4 linked regions of the Bombyx mori genome follow. The protein of the gene in region 1 binds, or shares a complex with, the protein of each later gene. Links are inferred from orthologs where the notes say so. Each region holds a gene or a part of one and is shown on either strand. Other genes may lie near its edges.

The links. The genes of interacting proteins can lie anywhere in the genome.
Region 2: DNA-directed RNA polymerases I, II, and III subunit RPABC4 (region 1) and Znrd1 share a complex: the UniProt entries of both Homo sapiens proteins name them as parts of the pol I pre-initiation complex. The link is inferred for Bombyx mori from reciprocal best matches to the Homo sapiens genes POLR2K and POLR1H.
Region 3: DNA-directed RNA polymerases I, II, and III subunit RPABC4 (region 1) and transcription initiation factor IIA subunit 1 share a complex: the UniProt entries of both Homo sapiens proteins name them as parts of the TBP-based Pol II pre-initiation complex. The link is inferred for Bombyx mori from reciprocal best matches to the Homo sapiens genes POLR2K and GTF2A1.
Region 4: DNA-directed RNA polymerases I, II, and III subunit RPABC4 (region 1) and general transcription factor IIH subunit 4 share a complex: the UniProt entries of both Homo sapiens proteins name them as parts of the TBP-based Pol II pre-initiation complex. The link is inferred for Bombyx mori from reciprocal best matches to the Homo sapiens genes POLR2K and GTF2H4.

Annotation. Positions count from the first base shown.
Region 1 is NC_085111.1:12,249,201-12,252,970, forward strand, and holds DNA-directed RNA polymerases I, II, and III subunit RPABC4, read left to right. Parts: upstream 1-1,432; 5' UTR 1,433-1,625; coding exon 1,626-1,689; intron 1,690-2,338; coding exon 2,339-2,431; intron 2,432-3,097; coding exon 3,098-3,120; 3' UTR 3,121-3,270; downstream 3,271-3,770. Other genes in the region: uncharacterized protein LOC119628526, read left to right, coding at 1-129. UniProt on the Homo sapiens protein: DNA-dependent RNA polymerase catalyzes the transcription of DNA into RNA using the four ribonucleoside triphosphates as substrates.
Region 2 is NC_085112.1:11,752,489-11,755,441, forward strand, and holds Znrd1 (transcription-associated zinc ribbon protein), read left to right. Parts: upstream 1-1,311; 5' UTR 1,312-1,312; coding exon of another isoform or gene 1,313-1,317; coding exon 1,318-1,444; intron 1,445-1,668; coding exon 1,669-1,879; intron 1,880-2,137; coding exon 2,138-2,162; 3' UTR 2,163-2,453; downstream 2,454-2,953. UniProt on the Homo sapiens protein: Core component of RNA polymerase I (Pol I), a DNA-dependent RNA polymerase which synthesizes ribosomal RNA precursors using the four ribonucleoside triphosphates as substrates. Can mediate Pol I proofreading of the nascent RNA transcript.
Region 3 is NC_085117.1:13,411,164-13,414,854, reverse strand, and holds transcription initiation factor IIA subunit 1, read right to left. Parts: upstream 2,505-3,691; 5' UTR 1,983-2,504; coding exon 1,014-1,982; 3' UTR 501-1,013; downstream 1-500. UniProt on the Homo sapiens protein: TFIIA is a component of the transcription machinery of RNA polymerase II and plays an important role in transcriptional activation. TFIIA in a complex with TBP mediates transcriptional activity.
Region 4 is NC_085125.1:220,016-224,045, reverse strand, and holds the start of general transcription factor IIH subunit 4, read left to right. Parts: upstream 1-1,230; 5' UTR 1,231-1,391; coding exon 1,392-1,540; intron 1,541-1,850; coding exon 1,851-1,955; intron 1,956-4,030. UniProt on the Homo sapiens protein: Component of the general transcription and DNA repair factor IIH (TFIIH) core complex, which is involved in general and transcription-coupled nucleotide excision repair (NER) of damaged DNA and, when complexed to CAK, in RNA transcription by RNA polymerase II.

The sequences.
Region 1 (3,770 bases):
GACGATGATTGCGACACGGATGAAGAAAGTAGTGATGATGATGATGATGGTCATGATTATGATAGCGAAAAAACAATTAAAAATACCAGCTCAGCTTCAGCTGATCCAAGACCTGGCACCAGCTCCTAGTTTTGACCTAATGGAAGGAATATCTATTTTACCCCTAGATTAAATTACTACAATTATTAACCTGTATTTTTTGTTCATGTACTAATAAATATATAAATAAATACATATTATGTTGTTTTTAATAACTTAACATTTTTGTACGTAATTGTACGATGCGCGAACTTACCCCCACTACGTCAACTAATGCTCAAGAAGTTTGCCGAGTATTAAGCGAATAGGCAGGTGCAGGTAGGGAAAAAAATGAAAAAATATTTATTTCTTTGTTTACTATGTTTGTTTTTTTAAGGGATTTTATGACCTGGTAACTAAGACCTTTAGGTCAAGTCTTATTTTAATTTTAATGATAACTTTTTTATATGAAAAATGATATTATTAAATGAAATGAAGTTGATTATTGTGAAACATGGCATGAAATGAAATGAAAACGAAATGAAATGAGAAAATATGGGATGAAATATAATCTCAGTAAAATGGTGGTCATTTACTAAGATTTTTCAGTGGACTTTTTGGAGGATCCCGAGAAGTTACGTCCAGCGGCTTTGTTCCATTTTCCCACATTTGTGCACTTTCACAGATATTAAACTGCTAATAAACCACCATTATTACACATTTAAACCCGAAGAAACACTAAATAGACAAAATATAACAAATCACACAATATCACTCCTCGCGTTCCCGCCAAAAAGTCTGTTTTTCTATGTTTGGGAGCTTAATGCACAGATTAGCTAACTCAATCCATAAATAAAATGTAAAAAAATATGCCATTTATTTGCTTTACGGCTCACTGAATTTGGTCCCCTTTTTTAATTTTCGATTTTTTTAATTTTTAATTATTTGTTCGTCGTTTGTTCGTTAATGTTCGCGCGTAACAAAAAGGTAGTAAATACGGCCGTCGGCCATTGCCATCTGACTGACAAAACCGGCGCATGCGCAATGTAGGCGTGAGGTGATAATTTGCTTATTAGATATAAAATAATTAATAATTTCGAATTTACTTGTTTTTATGATCGAACAATCACCAATAGTCGTCGAACAAACAATAATTGATCAAAATTAATTAATCTGAGCAATAAAAACAAAGATATCTAGTAAGAGGGGCCAACTGAAGGGTGATCATTTGTTTAATTAATTATAAATAAATAAAAGACGAACAGATAATTTTACATTCAAACATTGACGATCAAACGACGAACAAATAATTAAAAATAATCCTCGGTTCCCCTCCAATGTCCCGATGATTTTTTCTTTTAAATTTCCACTCCTTTTTTTACGTATTTTTTTCTTCAACAAGACAAGCCCTCTTTTGAACAAAACGTTTTATGGTTTAAGTTCCCTTTGCGGCTTAATTAAACAAATCCAAAAACCATAGATTCTACACACAAAATAACAATCCAAAGCATAGATTATACACTTAATATAAAGCTTAAATCAAATTGGTGATTTAAAATAAAACACATTTTTTATTATTATTTAATTTTTCTCTATTTTAGCACATAATGGCTGACACAACTGGGAAAGAGCAATCAGTTACTAAAGTGCCAATGATATATGTTTGTGGAGGTACAGTGTAACCAAATAATAACAAAACTTCTATCACTTTGTAAAACACTAACACAAAATAACCTAATAATTGTTAGGTATCAGCATACCCCAATAATTGAATATTTTTTTTGTATTTCTTTTTCTCTTGATTTATGAACATTTTTTATAGAAAAAAGAAAGAAACTACTTTTAAAATGTTCTTACCGATAACACTAAGCTTGTCAATGTCTACTAAACAAAGAATTAATAAATCAGTTAATTTGTCTTTTGTGTATAGTAGATTATAAAATTATTCACACTGTCTTATAACATTGTATAAATTAAGGCGTTTTGTTTAATGTGTTATTGTTTTACTATATTTCAAATGGGGAATGCATCTGTATAAATATAAATGTTCTTTAGTAAAGCTAAAAGCCGTAAAAGCTTAAGTGCTTTTAATAAAACTTGTTAATATTAATATTAAAATTTAAAAAACCTAAACTTAAAAGTATTAGAAAAATGAAATTGATTCAATTGAGAGTAAATTATATTGTTTGCCCTTTTCTACATTATTGTTTTTGCCGATCATCTACTTCAACTGTTTAAATGTTGGTTTCTTTAATAAATGCAATCCTGAAACTATAATATGGGTCTGCAAAACAAATGATGCTTTCATTATCATTTTCAGAATGTCACAAAGAGAATGAAATCAAACCAAGAGATCCTATTAGGTGCAGAGAATGTGGTTACAGAATAATGTACAAGAAAAGAACAAAAAGACGTATCCTTTTGATTCTATAAATATATTCTTAAAGTAAAGATTATAGGACTAGGATACAGCCTAGTGATTTTAATCAGTAGAAAGGTATTGACAGGTATCACCCATATTTAATTCCTTCATTGTGGAAGTGATTCGTGATCACATTTCGAGAGTATATTTCTTTGGATATTGGTATATGCAATTTGCACATTTGCATGGTTGCACAGCTTGACACAACTACACCATCTGTTTTATCCTTTAGATCACATTGAGCTTGCAAGAAAATAAATGTAATAAATGAGTCGACTATTATCAAAGGCGGCAATCTGACTTTTGGACAATGATTGGTAAATCAGAAAAACGAATTATTGACTTTGTATTCCATTGGCAGTCACAAAACTCTTCGGAACGACATCTTAGATAAATAACAGGTTAACTATTAACCTTTATTTAATGCAGGTTTTGAACCGTATTCTTTGAAGGAGACGATTATATTCAAATAAATCTGTATTGACATATCAATAAAAAAAAATTGTCCAAATGTACAGATTGCCACCTTTGATAATAGACGACTCATATCTGTTAAAATCTTCAGAAAATTACCCTTTTTGTAGTTTGTGTTGATTTTAAATTCATCATATTTTTGTTCGTAATATTCTGAAAAATTTTCCTTAAGTAAGAATTCAGTGGTTGTGTTTGACGCTCGGTAAACGAATTCTGGAAACAAAACCCTAGAAGATAAGTTCGGTGGATACATCATGCACAGAAGAGTGAAATAAATTTATAATAAGGTTAATGTGTATTTTTGTTACTTTGTCTATGCTCTAATAATACTGACCAATGAAAAAAAATATATACAAGGTAGTTTTTTTATAGTAGATTTATAGATCTACATCATCACTTTACATTATATACTGGTGGTAGCCCATAGACATTAAAACATGAATGCCACCTACCGCCATGATATATGTGTTCTAAATTGTACCCAATAGATATAAGTAATCTGAATGATTTGAAGTATCAATCAACTTATTTGATGTTTCTAAATGAACTACTGCCTTAAAAAAAAAAGACTTAAGTGCAAGAAAAATATGTAACTTTATAGATAGATATCAAATGAGTTCATTATCTTTTTTTTTTATTGCTTCGATGGGTGAATGAGCTCACAGCCCACCAGGTGTTAAGTGGTTACTGGAGCCCATAGACATCTACAACGTAAATGCGCCACCCACCTTGAGATAAAGTTCTAAGGTCTCAAGTATAATTACAACGGCTGCTTCACCCTTCAAACCGAAACGCATTACTGCTTCACGGCAGAAATAAGCAGGGCGGTGGTACCTACCCGCGCGGTCTCACAAGA
Region 2 (2,953 bases), on another chromosome or scaffold:
ACACGCGTTAGTATTAAAAAATCTCACAGATGGCGCTGTATTAAATAGTATGTATATTTCTGTCTCATTCTTTGCTGGCTTCATCCTACACATTTTTGTATTTGTGTCTCTTACCTGTCGTTTTATCCGTTGCATCCGGTTTGAAATCACAACGATTCTAAAGAAGTTTTCACTTCAAAAGACAGGCTGTCAGTTTGAGGGAAAAATGTCATGATATAAAAAAATGTGTTTTACGTTTTTAAAAGGTTCAAAGATAAAAATCAATTGATTGTTAATGTATACGATTTTAAGGTGCGTGTGGAATAAATAAATGCTTCCTATACTGCAGTTTGAGTTTAATCCGCAACGACGACAGTTGTCAACATATTTCCTAAATACCTACTAATCTATATATGAGAAACAATGAAGATGACTGATTTTAGAGATCCACTATTGAAGAATTGCGTTTATAATTTCGTTTATAGAGTGGAGTTAGTAATAGTGTAAAGAGCAAGAGCTAAAAATGAGCTGTAGTAGACTGTAGTGGTTATATCTACAGCTACTGGGAGCGTTCTGTAGTTCTGTAGGCATTGTCACAGACTGTGGTAGAGAGACAAAAAGTCCACCAAAACTAAAACGTAGAAGTGCAATCTTCATTATTTTAATTACAGCACGTCATTTCGTATCCTCCCGATCCACTAACGGTGCTTTTAAGCACTTCAAATCACCAGTCATCGTTCTCGTCGAAACCGTCGCTTGCGACAAAGGGCTCGGCGAGTAAATTAACCCACAGACACAACCCACTGAGTTTCTGGCCGGATCTTCTCAGTAGGTCGCGATTCCGATCCGCTGGTAGATTCAGAGAAGCACTGCTCTTGCTAGGGTTAGCGTTAGCAACGTCATCAGGTTTGAGTCCCGTGAGCTCACCTACTTGTTAGGTGACGCTAACATAGCCTCTCAAGGCTATGAGCTTAGGTAAGAAAAAGAAACAGTTACTGAACTTCATCTTTTCAAATTTTAGTTACAAGTGATCTAATACTATCAGTATGGGCTATGTTTCCTTTGTCAATTGTCAAACAGTTAAAAAAAATTGTACGTAAGTAATGAATTTATCATTATAGTAAAAAAAAAATAGGTTTTTGTATAGCAAATACTTAGGGTATGTATACACTAAAACTGTCTAAAACCCTTCACAAAAATATATAGTATGCTTCATATTGGTTTAAAAATATATTTTGGTTATGTTTAGTACTAATAGATAAAGATTTAAAATAACCTAATATTCTAAACAAAAATACACAACCCTTTTAGTGATAATTGTGTTTACTTTTAGAAATAATGTCCACTGAAAGCCCGTTATCAACTAGTACAGCGTTTTGTGCTCGCTGTGGGTCCATATTACCCTTGCTACAAGAGTTTGGCTCCGTGAAATGCTACACTTGTAAAGCACATTATGAGGCTGATAGTAAGTATATAGTTGCCAATGAAAAAATTACTTTCATATAAACGGGATACGATTTTTCAGCGTTATGCTTTTGTATAATTTTCGAATATTCACTATTAAATTTATAATAAATAAAAAAACTTTAGTGATACTTATGAAATCCAGAAAGAACCTGTTGTATTTGTTTTCGAAATATAAAATAAAAACTTAAAAAAATGTTTTATTCAGAAATTCTTTTTTTACAGATTATAGTAAAATGAAATTTCAATACACAATACATTTCAATACTATATCTGTGATCACAAATGAGAATATACTACATACTGATGGTCCTGAGGGTCCAGTTGTGGAGAGAAAATGCGCTAAATGCGGTTACGACAGAATGTCATATGCAACTCTACAGTTACGATCGGCCGATGAAGGACAAACAGTTTTCTACACATGTATAAAGTGCAAGTATGTAAATTACAATATTTATTTGTATTTCGATGAGCAAGTCATCAATATCTGTACTTGTATTAAATAAAATTGGACCCTACCACTAGCCTAAGACAGGAAAATAATTGCAACTTGTGGCCAAATTTCCTTGGTAATATAAAACTGGACATAATAATGATCTTGTAAGCAACTACTATCTCAAAAATAAAATTATTTCCTAATTTAAAAAAGAACACATCGTACAAGATAATATCGTAAAGTATTATTTATTTTCAGATACAAGGAAACTGAAAACTCCTAAAGGCTGCTTTATACTAGTTTTAAGGTTGTCAAAGGAAAACTCGGCAATAGAATCATTGTATCAGAATCACTTTATGCAAAAATCAGTTTTACTGATTGTTTTAAATTAGGTAAATTTAATAAGGATTAAAATTAATCACCATGTAACTGGTGCGTAATTTTAATTCCATTTCTTGGAATGATAACTTTTAAACTGTAAATTCTATACTGATTAATCTTAAAAACCATGTTTTAAAAATTACATGTAATAGAATCAAATCTGAATAATTGAAATTATAAACATTTGTCCAAATGTTTTTTTTATGCTGAGAAATACATTTCTATTTTTAAATAATAAGTTCAATGAAAGTTTCTTTTTCAAAAGGTTTTATTTCCATGTTTCTAAAACCATAGCAATATTGAAGAGTTTTATGCAACAAGTTTATTTGGATCTTAGTGTAGAAGATTTACATTTGACAATTTTTGATAAACTTATAATACACTACTCAGAAATAATTCTATGTAGAACAAGCTCGGCCATATTAGTTTCCTACAGTAAGCATAATATGCCTGTATAACAAAAGTACACACTGCTAATCTTCCATAGTAGAAGTCACTGGATTCTGTAATACATACATATTTATTAAGGAAAATTTTTACCTGCCTCCTAAGGCCTTATCCCTTGATACTAACACCAGCACAATCGCTTGATACTTGTAAACCGGCATCGTATCCTATAGACCACAACAACATCAAGTGGGCTGTGAGCTAGCGTAACCATACAATGAAGAAAAATAATCGTAGTATTGGCAA
Region 3 (3,691 bases), on another chromosome or scaffold:
GTGCACTCTGTTTTGAAATTTACCATACTTTTTTAAAGCAGCCTAACTGATTTTTTTTACATTAGAAACATGATGACTCTCCTTCTGTAAAAATAGCTTTCATATGAGTTTGTGTGTAGTTATTTTTCCTTTTAAGTCTTAATATTAAGAGTGCAATTTAATTCGTTATTAAAATAAAACCCCCTAAACGTTATCTATAATATTATTATATTAGAAATAATTACATTTTAAAGTATCATGCCCTTGCAGTCCTTGCCCATTGTTGAGATGTAGAAATTTAAAAAAAAACCAAATTAATTGTTTGCTTCTAATAAGGACTATTTGTTTGATATTTAAATTATCTTTGATCTTACATACTCTGTAATAAATATTTTTTTCATTTTTAAAGAGGAAATTTAACTCATTTTTATTAAATTTAAAAGTTGTTTATTTATGCATTATATTTTTTGTTTAAACAAATGAAATTAAGGACATTTTCAATATTATAAAAAAAACATGGGTCATGTGTCACATTTATTGTAATTTTAATAGTGGCATTTAAATTAAAGAGCATCAACTTAAGAGATAACAAAATTATTCACAAACTTCTTTTGTATTGTACATTATTAATACCCAATAAGTCAAGATATGTATCTCGATATTAGAAGCACAAAGTCAAATAAATATCTTTCATTTAGATTTTTTTTTGTGTTTTTTTTTGTAATTATATTAGTAAGTAGTAGTCTCAGTAGTGTACAAAAAACACACTAATGGGAAGTGAGACTGAAGGAGCTTGGTAGAGTTTTTTACTATTGGTAATACTAGTGTCTTAGAAAACTTCAAATCTACCTACTAAAGATTGTTTTTTTTTTTTCATAATTTGTTTAACAATCTTATCGTAATCTTGTTACACAGATATCTGCCATACAGACATCAAATTACATGTCGAAATAACGAAATAATAATTATGAGACCTTAAGCCCTAATTCCGAGATATAACAAATAATTTTCTATAAAATACACACTGTCTATAATCACCATTCCGCATCACCATTAGCCTTTTGGAATACATAATCCTTTCCAGCTAGATTCATGATTCCATCTTTGAGATAGAACTTCCACCTATTGCGACTGCGTGTAATTTTATCATATTGGCAAACAACTACATTATCAGTATCAAACATGTCCCCTGGCTCCTCATCAGATACATCATCACCGGAATTTAGGGGTTCTTCTTCAGCACCACCACTTTCATTTTGTTCTTCTTCTTCTTCTTCTGCCCGCTCTTCGGGAGAATCGTCATCATCATCATCATCTGCTGCACCGTCTTCTGAACCATCACCTACGTTTGAGCCATCATCATCAGAAGAGTCCAAAGCACCATCTAAAGAGAAAGGAGCAGTTCCACTGCGGCCGCCTCCGCCGCTATCAAAATCACTTTTTTGTCCTGCTAAAGCCGAGTTGATATGTTGTTGCAGTAAAGTAGCAGCTAGAGGTTGTGGAAGGCTAATGGTAGCATTTATTATAGGACCTGTTAAGACCTGATGCAGTTTGTTGCCGTTCAGAGCTGATGCTGGAATTTGAATGGTAAATGAACGAGGCTGGGACCCTGGAACTCCAGGTTGAGCAGGTAATGTAAGCTGAACTGGCACTTTATTATTAGGGTCTAGAATATGATGAGTATGCGTTCCAGCTACACTAGATGCTGGTGCACTATGTTCTTGTTGCCCCGAAGTATGTCCCATGTCAGTTCTTTTATGCACTACATTACTACCATTTACTTTTTGGAAATTCTGTAACACTGGAGGAGGTGGCAGCATCGGCTCAGGTTGTAACGGGTCCGTGGCTCCACTGGCTTGAAGCTTTGTCTTCCATAGTTGTTTTAGTTCTTGTAACACTTGTTCGTCTACACCGTCATCTAAGAAAGAATTTCTCACTCCGGATATCACGTCGTCTACCACTATGTTGTAAAGTTTCAATACTGCGAGCTGACTCGTTGTCATTTTGCAATCGAGCTGTAGTTGAAAATTGTTTAACAGTGTAAAATGTTCACAGAACTAGATATTCTTGTTTCTAAATCTGTTTAGTTTAGTTTAGAGCCGATTATTTGTCTTCTGAGTTCACATCGCAACATTTCAATGTCAAATTTCTGGAATTCACACAGTTTGTTAATTCACTAATGTTGATGACCAATTTTATATATTTAAGATAATATGTGGCTAAAGTAGCTTATTTTAACTTTTATGACGTCCATTTACATAAAGAGAGACAAATTTATAAATTCACCATAAAAATTTTGACAATTGATCACTCAAACATAACCTACAAACCGAGGAAATATTTCGTAGCCTTTAAAGAAATAATTGTCTATGGTTCGTTGATTCCGACATTGAACGACGACAAAGATGGCGCATGCGTTATGAGTACGAGAAATAGCACCGCCCCGCACCGCGCCCCGGTTGATTACGTATTGGTGAGTTTGCGCCTTGGGTAGTTGCCTTTAAATTGATTTTACGGTTTGAAAGGAAAGAGCCACCACTTTAAAATTTCAAAACAAAATTGGCATATCTAAAATTTATTGTTATAACATTGAATGATGAAATTTAAAAATATAGAATTTTCACAAAAAACGGTATTCATTCAAAAAAATTCGTTACAAGCCAATTTTAATGAAATTCATTTCTACTTAAACCATTGTTAAATAATATTGACTAAATAATATTTATATTTTATTTATATTAAACTATTGCACTGTTGAGTACAAGCAACGCAACACTCAATTTTATCTTGTACTATGAAAACTTAAAGACTTCATTCTTAATAAAACCGCATAATAGGACGTTTATGAAACAAGAGTAACTATAAACTTAATTGTTATTTTAGATAGATTTTTCAGTTTTTCAGTGGTTGTAAAAAATGTTGATTAAAATTGGTGGCATAGACAATAATTGAATTTTAGTATTTTTGTGGCGGGAAATCCAAATGTTGGAAAGAACTTTTCGTCTTTGTCGAAGCTTTTCATTTTTTTTGTAACGAATGACGTTGAAGTTTTTATATTTAAAATAGGGGCTTAAACTTATATAGTTGAAAAGGTAGTGTATAATAATATGCTTTCGTTATTAATTTGACATCAATCATCATCAATTCATTTGACTCAATACATTTCTTTCTGTGACAGATTTTTAAAGCACGACAATTGGTAAGAAGGTATTCTAATGGAACATTCTTATATATTCTGACTTCAATATAATATTAAAAATTTATAAATATCAAAATATGAGGGTTACAGTACTCATTTACCTCAATTTTCTTTTAGTAAATATTGTAACGAACAAAATCGATACCAATGCCGAATGAAACACGGTTTTTTCAGTTTATCAAATCAAACTTCTCTTGATAACACAATACAGCACATTTACCGTAAATTAATTAAAGGTAAATTAAAAGCACAGCTAGTTATTTCGGGGAAATAACGTCATCTGTCAGTGATTGGTGTGTATCTGTATAGTCCGCGGTCGACGCGGTCTAGTGGGGACCGTGTTGGTTTGTTCGTCGGCTAGCTATTTGCAGCAGATCGATACGTTCCAGAATATCATTACTCGCTCACCTGAAGTCTAAATTAACGTAGGATCAAACTAAAATTTGTTTACTATTCACTATGTGTTCGCTATTAATGTAGAATTTTGGTTTTATGGCAGTTCAAAAACCATCT
Region 4 (4,030 bases), on another chromosome or scaffold:
CCAAGCCTATTATTTATGAACATGGTAATCAATTGGACTGGCTGCTAATCTATCCAAACGGACACTGGTAGTATCTGTGAGTTTTATATAATTATCGGATCATATTAAAAAAAATACATCAATAAACAACTTTAAATCCATACGCATGAATAATCTACTGATTTAATAGGTAAAGGTAATAAATATTTCGATATATATATCTAACTTTTTCTCTAACATTTTTACGATGTTTCCCCGGCGCTTTGACGTATCCTTATTCAAACGAGATCTGAAGACAATTCTTAACACTTAGCAACTGCTTGGGCTCAGGCATTGCTGACTGCTGATATCTATGAGCGACGGTGATTACTTACCATCTGGTGGCCGTATATTCGCATGCCTACGATTACAACAATAAAAAATAATATCATTAACAACGCACTTTTTTACTTTTTGTTAGGAAGAAAGTTTTACTGGTGGCCCGTTCAGTTTCACCAGGACAGTGCGTGCGCGCATTCAGCCGGGTCTTTTTAACTGAGGTGGTGGAGGTAATAGAATGACTTTCGAAACACTATTTGGTTTGTATTATTGTCCTCTATCGACCGTACTTTCTGCACTTCTCGATGACTATGCAATCACAAAAATTACGGTTTTTACATTGTATCAAAACACGAGGTATAATTTAATTATATTAGGGCGCTCATTATTGATCTGACAAAACATTTCAGAACTAATAAGTGCCTAGGCCTAGCTCCACGACGCCCTTCACGAGGTCAAGGATCGTAGCAAATGGAGAACAATCGTATAAGAGAGATTGATGCAGCGGGGGAGTCACGACCCTCCTTTCAATGAGGAGAACGACTTGAGGAGGAGGAAGGGCCGAGGTATCATTTTAAAATCATATCAAGGCTTCGATCACAAAAAAATATACGCATTCGTAGTTTAAATATATATCTTTGAAGTAGGCGATCTGTAATTCAAATGCCAAATCTAAATACCAAATCTGTACCAAAGAGTTGAAAAATATGGTGGAAAAGGTGTTATCGGTTTTATGACTAAACAAAAATATTAAGCAACATTATTGATATTTTGACTTCATGTCTCGAGATACGTCGTGATGTATATACTGTCCGTAACCAGTAACCACTACGATCCGTAAGCTCATGTGGTGCGAGTTTCTGTAATTCGAACTAAATGGTAAGCCCTATGGTTATTTTACTTTTTCAATATGGCAATCAGATCTTAGAGGAAAGTAATCTGTCAACTGTCACGAAGTCATGAAATGTGGTTGTCAAATTTCAATTTGTTTTGGGTTGTTTTGAATTTGGATTACTTTGTTATTATAATCTGAAACTTATGAATTAAAGAGATTTAAGAACTAATTATTAGGTAGACAGCAGACAGCGAGAACGATGTCAGAGTCTTCTAAATCGAAGTCTTTAAATTTGAATCCTTCGCCTACACTACAATGCAAAGACCTTCACGAATATCTTAAGTCGCGGTCTCCGCAGTTTCTAGAGACTCTTTACAATTACCCCACTATATGTCTCGCTGTATATCGGTAAGTCGCTATTCATAACCTTACCTGTAAGGCAGTAAGACTGCTAGAGGTAATGCACGGAACGCATCCAAATATTCCTAAAACTGAGCTATTTCATACATAATAACTACTAATGACTCTCGTGTATATATGTCATACGCTCAAAAGCACAAAAAAATCAGTTGTTATCATTCACCAATGAATATACAATAAGAGGTACAGAGTGATTTACTGTTCAACTATTTAATTAATTTGTCTATGACTAGCTAAAAGATAATACTAGTAATCATGTTTTAATTGAATAAAACTATTGTATAATACTAAATTCCAGCGAATTACCAGAGCTAGCACGTCACTTCGTAATCCGCTTGCTGTTCGTTGAGCAGCCAGTCCCACAGGCAGTTGTCACATCCTGGGTCTCGCAAACATATGCCAAGTATGTACTTGTTATCACAATACACAGTAAAAGGTCTTAAAGTAAATGTTGATAACATCTATAGTTTGACTCAAACATGGCTAAACATGGTCCTACAAAATTATATGGATGTGTAGAAGAGTTGCGAGAATTAGAGCACTGTGGTATGTGAAGAATGTCAACCTTCACAAAATCTAAATTAAAAACAGACATGTATGTATCCAGTGGTTTTAGGCCTCGCAAGCATCCATCATCCTCCTCATCGAACTTGTTGATTATGACGAAGAGTTAGCCAAAGTAAGCCATAGACACAGCCTGCTGAATTTCTCACCGCATCTTCTCAGTAGGTCGCGACTCCCATCTGGTGATAGATTCTGTGAAGCACAGCTCTTCCTAGGGCCAATGCTACCAAATTGTCTGGATTTGAGCCCCTGAGTTCACTTAGCTGTCTGAGCGTAGCTGGAATATCCCAAACTAGCAGGGAATAGATAGGGAAAAAAATAACATTCTAATCGGTTACCCAACAGCAGTGCCATATTTAACTCAAATGTCAAAAGAGATTGTAGTGCTGATTTTCCTTTTCATAAGATATGGATTTTTTTGTGCAAAATGACAGTAACCAACCCTTGAAGCTGTTGAAGTTGTTGAATTAAAGAAGTGAATGCTGCCTTCCCCTACAAATTTGGGAGATAAAAAATAAATAATCATTCTGTAATGCTTTTTAACAATCTCTTGAAATTTGAGTTAAATGTGGCACTGCTGTTGGGTGACTGATTGTCAATGGTACATTGATATATGAATGTGATCCCATGGAGATATGTCTCTATACTACAACTAACCCCCTTCCAAACACCTTTTTTCAATAATGTGGCACTAAGTGTATCTTTTTCCTGGTAGACTCCATACTATTTTCATATTATCCAAATTTAACCTCAGCTACTTAATTGTATGTGGCAAAAAGTACTGTTTACTGCCACTTTTTGCAGCTTCTTTCCTATCACAAAAAGAATTAAAATCTGAGATCAAACCACACTTAATGATGAAGCAGTCAACATTGGTCAGTTTTTCATTTACAGCTTAGCTTATAATTATAAAAAAAAACAAAGGAATATGGAACCAATTTAAAAAAAAAATTAGATATGCTATTCATTGATATATTGAGTAGGACCACTGAAAACGATATCAGGAAAAAATAAACTATGTTTCGGATTCCTATAATTTTTTCCAAGAATGTAGACATTGGAAAATATCAACATAATATTATTGTTTTATTTCAAGGTCAAATCATAACATATTCGCAAATTATAGAAGACAGGGAGTGAATAAGTTTATCCTTTGATGGAAATAAAGCAATTCTGCAATCATTATGTAGGCTTAGGATAGAATACTCGTACTCTCAAATCGGATACGGTAGTAGCTATGCCCCCCCTCGTAGGCCCCTCAGGCCGACTCGCGGCGTTCGATGATGACGAAAAAGCAGAGCTGCTGGCCGATACATTGCAAACCCAGTGCACGCCCAGCACTCAATCCGTGGACCCTGTTCATGTAGAATTAGTACAGTGAGGTAGAACGCAGAGCCTCCTTGCCACCCTTGGATGCGTTACCACCCGTCACCCCGAAGTTAAAGACTTGATCAAAGACCTACGTCCTCGCAAAGCTCCCGGTTCCGACGGTATATCTAACCGCGTTATTAAACTTCTACCCATCCAACTCATCGTGATGTTGGCATCTATCTTCAATGCCGCTATGGCTAACTGTATCTTTCCCGCGGTGTGGAAAGAAGCGAACGTTATCGGCATACACAAACCCGGTAAACCAAAAAATAATCCGACGAGTTACCGCCCGATTAGCCTCCTCATGTCTCTGGGCAAACTGTATGAGCGTCTGCTCTACAAACGCCTCAGAGACTTCGTCTCATCAAAGGGCATTCTCATCGATGAACAATTCGGATTCCGTGCGAATCACTCATGCGTACAACAGGTGCACCGCCTCACGGAGCACATTCTCGTGGGACTTAACCGACCAAAACCGATCTACACGGGAGCCCTCTTCTTCGACGTCGCAAAAGCGTTCGACAAAGTCTGGCACAACGGTTT